2 linked regions of the Danio rerio genome follow. The protein of the gene in region 2 purifies or fractionates together with the protein of the main gene of each other region. This does not show direct contact. Links are inferred from orthologs where the notes say so. Each region holds a gene or a part of one and is shown on either strand. Other genes may lie near its edges.

Region 1 (4,063 bases), on a different chromosome or scaffold from region 2:
AATGTATTTAGTTCTACATTTAGAAAAGATTTTCTTTATTATAGTAGTCGTTTTTTTAATCGGTGTAAAGAATAACTGGTTGTTTACAAAAGCATTTTCATATTGGTAAAGGCTTCTGCAACTTTTGTGAAGCCTAATCACTGGCATATTAACTGTCAAAACATGTTTATTAATGCATTAAATTTATCATAGCTTTTTTTTTTTTTAAAAAAGTCACATATAGTGCATTTCTATTATACACAATTTGTACTAAAGCGATCTAAAAAGTTCATATCAATAGGTTTTCTCTGTGCACCACCAGGTGGCAGTCTTTGTACTTTCATTTCGAGAGTGCAGATTGCATACGTTTTATTAATATATATAACTTTATTTATGTTATTAATAACTATAACTTTATATTTATATATATATATATATATATATATATTTATATATATATATATATATATATTTATATATATATATATATATATATATATATATATATATATATATATATATATATATATATATATATATATATATATATATATATAGTTAAAAAATATGTACCCTTTTTTCAAGTGTATATAACTACTACTGTAAGAAAATATCAGAATTCGGTACATACTTTCTGTATTTTCTTTGCTTGAACTGAGCCGATCTAATCCTGTTTATATGAACTGAACCTGCTTCCGATCAGGTTTGAGCTAGCAGAACTGTTGCTATGACAACAACTCTCGGATCAGCTTTGAAGAACGAAACGATCCTGGATCGTGTCAAATCGTCAATAACCAAATCCAGCTAACTGAGTAATCCACGTATGAAGAACGGACCCCAGACCTTTCCGGAAAAGTACCGTCAATTTTCCTGGAAAGGTGTGTGTGTGTGTGTGAACAGGCTCTTTTTGAAAATGCCGGTAAATTCGTTCTGGCTATTTTCCGGAAAGAGAAGTTGTAACATTACCGGTAATTTGCCGGAATGCTGCGCTGTGTGAATGCAGAAGGAAGATTGCTGGAAAGAGCGCGTGCACTTCTAGAACGTGCTGACGTGAGACGTCTGCTTTAGCCAATCAAAACAGTCAGACGCATTCACGTCCGCGCGGTTTATGAGAATAAAAGCCTTTGAATATTTTTACAGACACATTTAGCTGCTAATAATTATGAGCTCTCTAATGAATGTGCTGAAACAAGAGTGAAAGGTCTCGACAAAATCTGAACACAAGTGGTTAGCAGATAGACACTTAAACGCATGTTAAAACCGGATGTAAAAGGGTAACGTGTCAGGGTTGACTATTTAAGATTAATTACTGAACACTCATTCAAATACCAGAAGGCCATAAACTTCCCTCGCCAACTTTTGGAAAGTTTCATAACATCAGTGCAGATTCACTCTATGAAAAAAAAAAAAAAGTAGATGACGGTCAGTGTGTCTGCTCACCCTCTGTCTCCATGTCTTGTCCTTTGGGCGCCTCGCCGATGTCAATGGTGAACATCACAATCTTGGGGGTCATGGTGGACATCTCATTGCTGAAGCAGAACTTGTAGGTTCCGTCCATGTGAGCGGCTACAGAATACTTCCCACTGGACTCACGGTCTCCTTTATAGATCTGCTTCCCGTCTGGACCCGTTATCTGTTAAAGATATGCAGCGCATAATGATGAGGTAAAGTTGGTTTTATATTCGCACGATCATTCAGTGATAACTCCCTATATTGTTTATCATGCTACTTTGAATATTCCGACTGAAATTATATGCAGGTATGACTTTAAATCAACATTAGAACTATTTCATTGACTGAACAATGTTGTTCTTTATTGGTTATAGGCTGCTAATATGATTTACCCATTTAGAATTGGCAATGAATACTTTACTGAAATTATATTGAGGAGAAAGTCTGAATGTGTGAATATAACACCACTTCACCACAATCCAGTATATCAGGTAAAACTCACCGTTAACAGGTACATGTCAGAAATATTGTTTTGATTAAAATAAATTGAAAAACTCACAATAAAAACATACATTAAAACGTTATATTCTAACGTTCTGCCTTAAGAAATAAAGGGACTAGTAAATGACGTATGCTTTGTGAAAGCAGGTGTCACCTTTGACACTTTAGACCAAGATACAAACACAAAACATGGGAAACACCCGGTATCATTCATATACGTGTAATATTATATACTATATACACATAATTTCATATATTATCAGTACACAGAACCACACACAAATCAAATGTACAAGAAGAATCTTAACACCAGACTATTTCCTATGTTTAACTAAAACCTGCGGGATGCAAAATAGCATACTTTGACCTACATTCGTCTAAATAATATGTAGACGAATGTATAATTGAGTACTTAAAGAATTAATAATCACTCCCAGACAGGAATTCACTTCCGGCTTTATCCACCATCTGCTAAGCAGACAGCGACACCTGCAAACATCCTACAGTGGCTGCTTATAAACAATCGTTTTATTAAATGATATGGAATGATACAGAGAGTGTATTTTAATGGCCACCTTGACGTCGATGTCCAGAAATCCTCCCTCGGCGACCTCAAACATCAGGCTCATCTTCGTGCCCGAGTTCACGCGCTCATAGAAACACTCCTCCGCGTGCGCGTCGATGCTCACAAAATAGCCGCTCGCCGTGTAGGACAACGCGCAAAGGAGAACGATGAGTTCCGAGAACGTAAACATGTTTGGTGCGGTGAATTAATGGAGAGTTAAACCCATAAAAGAGAGTTTACACCGCGCTGGGCCGATAAAGGCGGAGACTGACAAGCGCTAGCTGCGCTACTGGTGATGCCACGTCAAGATTTAGACGATCCGCCGGATGGGACATAAAGGCGACGACGCCGGACGCAGTTCGCGTTTGTAAAAAAAAAAGATGAGGTGTTGAAACGTCAAAGTGCTGCTGTTAAACTGGTTATTGCACAGCAAACACACAAACAAACACATGAATTAAAAAAATGTATAAATTAAGAAAGAAAACGTAGAAAATGTGCACAAATGTGCACGATTAGAGCTTGCTTAATTTCATATTTAGGAAAAAAATTATTACCTTAAATCAGAACTTCAACAGGAACACTATAAGTTATTGTCTTGCATGTATATTACATTTATTAATACACAACGTCTGCTTTTATAAAGAAAAATATATTGACTGTACATATCCGTGTTATATTTTATTATCCGTATATAAACATCTGTAGTCGGTTGCAACGTCTAAAATACAACAAAGTTGATAAAATTTTACTATCGTGATTAATCTTTTATTATATTAAAAATATTTTGTTAATTGTTGTCATTTGTTGTTCCTGTTGTCCCCCTCTGGAGGGCGCGTCAGCGCGGAGCGTCGCTCTCTGTGTGTCGCAGCTTTGGTGACGTTTTTCCAATCGACTCCAGAAAACTCTCCGCCGCTGCGGCCTAGCGCTCCCGGTTGCCGTTTCCTGTCATTTTTTCACTCATGTTCGTCTGTCCGAACCCAAACCGAGCGGTACCCGCTGCCGTATGAGCCGCTGAACACGGCACTGTCGATTTAAACGGAGTTTATACCCGGAAAGTGAGTAAAACTACAGTAAACGGAGCGAGGGAGCGATGACATCCCGAAGGTGAGAAACAAGCAAAAACAAACCAAACATTCTTCCTGTTACTTATTATTTAGCATTTCTTGTCTCTGCAGAGTGTCTTAGTTTTATGATAAACCAAGAAATTGTTTGTTAAGATAGTTTTAGACTGTCAGAAGTGCGAAAGCAACGTGTTTCATTTAAATAGCAGACAGTTTAATGATTTAAACCCATCAGGGCGAGACTGGACATGTTTGAGTCTGGAAGAGTCAGAATAATTGTGCATTAACTCTCTTTAGGGCACTGTAAGCCTTTTTTAATGTTCATATTTCATATCCGTTGATCGTGATTGACAGGTCGTGTTTTAAATTTGGGACAAGACATGACACTGTGTTTTGAGAATGTGACATGACAGCTCTGCCAACATTTGTCTTCGGTTTAGCGAATGTATCTGCCTACATTAACGTTGGTTTATTGTCATTTGCATTATAAACAGATCAAATTAAT
Region 2 (3,408 bases):
GAATTGTATCATATTCATATTTAAAATTGTCCAAAGAGTGTGTATTATACTTTTTTTTTTAATTCTACATATTGGGAATCAACAAATTAAAACTGCTGTTCAAAAAACAAACTTTGTGTGTATGCTCCATACATTAACTAACTCATGAAGGTTTAGGACAATGACAACATCGGGGTAAACAAAGGGAGAACTTACATTTTGACTGCCCTTTTAAATAATTAAAAAGTTGGTATAGTTGCAAATGATTGGTTGTCAACATTGTTCTGTTTTACAGATGACATAGAAGTCATAAAGGTTTGTAACAACATAAGATGACCAAGTTGACATTTTTAGGTGACAGTCTCTTTTAAATAGTCCAAAATCAGATCGATTATAGGCTACATGCAGTAGTTCGTACATACTTTTTCTAGTTCATACATAGTTGTCAATTATAACTAAATGTTTTGCTGATTACTATTGATTACTGATTATAACTTTACCATCCAGAAAGAATTAAACAATTCAGGGGTCAACAATAAGGGTGTATTCTTTATTATCGATTAGGGATAAAAGAACAAATAATTTATGCATGTTTTAAAAAATCATCAGGTTACCAACTTAACTGAATGCCTACCCTTTTGTTACAAATATTAATAAACTTATTCTTCTGACATCATTAATCTGCAGCAGAGGGGACACTTTCAAAAGTATGTATATAAACAGGCTCATTATTTATGAAAATCAAATGAGTAGAAACATTTTACACAATAATAAAATCACAGGGATTTGTAACGTGTATGAGTCAAAATAAATGTATGATATGGCATATTGGGATCTTGCTCATAAATATCAAGTAAGAAAATGGCTCCAAACCATCCAGTGCATTTGACATACCATAAAATAAGTACAAATAAAACTACCCAAACTCCTTCAAACGCAGAACCTTTGACAGCTTGAAATTTTACATTTCTCATGTGCATTAATGTTTGTCCATTCAAATCCTGTACATGAGATGAGCCAATATATTCATTAGGGTCAGCTCATACATAGTAACTTGAATAATTAAACTTAAAACCCCAAAATCAATCAATCAATCAATCAATCAATCAATCAATCAATCAATCAATCAATCAATCAATCAATCAACCTTTTCATAAATTGAAATAACAATGGCAGTTCCTTTGCAGCATTTCCTCCTCAGTTTTAATACATGAATTTATCCTTCAACCTTTTTGAAAGGCAGACTCTAGACTTAGTGAATCAAATGCGACAATGCTATTATGTTATACCTGGTCAGTCTACCTTTAAATCACATTAGTAATGTTACCCCGAAAGGCACAATAAATAAACAAATTAGACAGTGAATTGTTCAATGCTGAGGGGGGTAAAAACTAAACCTACATCATTATGTCTCTCTGAAAAGGGGAAAAAAAAACGATCATGGCCATCTTTGCACTTACACTCAAAACACCACAAGATCCCCAAGACAGCTGGTTGCAAAAAGATACCAAACTCGTCAAATGATCTTGCGGTTTTGACATGGTCACCAGCTGGTCTTCTGCCATCAATGTGTCGACCACATTGCAGTGAAGGCGAGAGTGAAGTCAACAGGCCATCAGGATGAGTCTTATCGCCATGCCCTATTGAGCAGTTTCACTTCCGCTAGACGTTTGCTGATCATGGTGGCAAAGAAGAGACCGAGGAGGACACTGCTGATTAAGACATAGTCATAGTCATCCTTAAGGACATCAAATTGTTTGGAAGGGAACACTCTAGTCTGGTAGATGTCAAGGCCGTATGCAACCACCTAGAAGGTGAAATTGAAGTTATTTAGTGTGACTACATGTGATAACAACTGCATGGATGTTAAGAGATCAATTGAAGTCCGTGACTCCTACCAAACAGGTTGACTCCAGGCCAGATGGGGCAGTATAGATGCCTCTTACTCTTGATACGGTTTGGTTGTAGTTAATGAACCATTCTGTACGAATGGGCATTTCTGGAGCATATGGTATAAGATTTTCCTCCCTAAAATGGTCAGAGAATCAATTTGTAAATAATTAAACTAAATATATGCTTGACATTTTTCAGATTTCCAACATGATAAACATTAGCTGAAAACTTACCGACTCTGTTCTGAGACCACCTCTGGTCTCCTGGGGTCCAAAAACATCTTTGGTAAGGATAAAATGTTGCCTGATGGCAGCCCCACTATAAAGCAAAAAATATCTTTGTTTTAATTTAGATGCTATTTATTATCATAAGTTATAAAAATACATCCCAAGAAACTTACTACAATGTTATGAGATTAAAGAGCCCCTATAATGAGTTTTTAAAAATGACCTTCCATGCAGTGTGTAAAGTGAAGTGTGTGTTAAGTGAAGTGAAATATCCAGCTAAGGCTTAAACCTGAAAGTACACCGTGTTTAAAACTATTGATTCCTCTATAAAAGAGTCAACTCAGAGTGGTTCAAATAAATCGCGAGGGTAACGAATCTTTAGCTGTGTCGGCATGACGTCGATATGGAACTCAAGCCCCGCCCATTTGTTGCATGCAGACCTGGAAAACTGAAACCCTCGGCCCTGCACACAAACACTGTAGAAAGAACTGGGACCTTGTAAAAGCTTGACAGGAACTTTACAGTACACAGTTCATGGATGAATTCCTTTCTCTATTTCACAAGTGTAAGGCCAAACCCCAATTCTGTTTTTGTACCCCTACCCCTTCCCCTTAGTCCTTGCAACCGAGGGTTAAGGGGAAGGGCTTTAAAATTTACCCCTAAGAATTGGGACAGCACTACATCACCTGCACACGTCATCATATGTCCTCGCAATCTCTTGCTTCATATGAGTTCAGATGATGGCGACTACTGTAGTGATTCCCGTTGTGTTTTTTTTTTTTTTTGGTATTTATCTTCAGGAAATCACTGAAGCCATGTATTATGTTATCATAATGATCTAATGTGGCAATAAGATCGTAACAGTACTGTGCATTTACACCGTGGCCATATTCATTAATGTAAACACATCAAAAACAACATTAACATTATAGCAGACACTGTAAAAAGTACATTCCCAGTCACTGGACTTTTCTGACAGGGTATTCCAGTGTCATTGAGTGTCATTGAGTGTCATTGAGTGTCATTGAGTGTCAGACTGTTGTGGGACTGCTGTGCAGAAGTTATTATTAGGGATTATAGATCGCAAAATTTAACGTTTTTTATTTAAGCGTTTTAAAAAAAAAAAAAAAAAAGCATGACTGTAAAACACGAACGCAGTTATGAATATATTAAAACATGTGTTTGTTTGTTGTAAAAATTCATAATAATAACAAAAAAAGATCTCCTTATTTCCGGGTGCAGTTGGAGCTAGTGTATTCTGGAAATTTTTTCCTACCTCTTGGTTTCGAGTGTGGTCCTGAAAAATCTT

Evidence for each region. Proteins that work in one complex are often made in the same cells at the same time.
Region 1: the proteins of emc1 (region 2) and tmed2 purify together in Homo sapiens (affinity purification with mass spectrometry; 3 studies listed by BioGRID and IntAct, with this or other methods). This does not show direct contact. The link is inferred for Danio rerio from reciprocal best matches to the Homo sapiens genes EMC1 and TMED2.

What each region holds. Positions count from the first base shown.
Region 1 is NC_133185.1:3,902,819-3,906,881, forward strand, and holds the start of tmed2 (transmembrane emp24 domain-containing protein 2 precursor), read right to left. Parts: upstream 2,811-4,063; 5' UTR 2,688-2,810; coding exon 2,508-2,687; intron 1,613-2,507; coding exon 1,420-1,612; intron 1-1,419. UniProt on the Homo sapiens protein: Involved in vesicular protein trafficking. Mainly functions in the early secretory pathway but also in post-Golgi membranes.
Region 2 is NC_133198.1:24,184,907-24,188,314, reverse strand, and holds the end of emc1 (ER membrane protein complex subunit 1), read right to left. Parts: intron 2,191-3,408; coding exon 2,106-2,190; intron 2,008-2,105; coding exon 1,878-2,007; intron 1,787-1,877; coding exon 1,607-1,786; 3' UTR 509-1,606; downstream 1-508. UniProt on the Homo sapiens protein: Part of the endoplasmic reticulum membrane protein complex (EMC) that enables the energy-independent insertion into endoplasmic reticulum membranes of newly synthesized membrane proteins.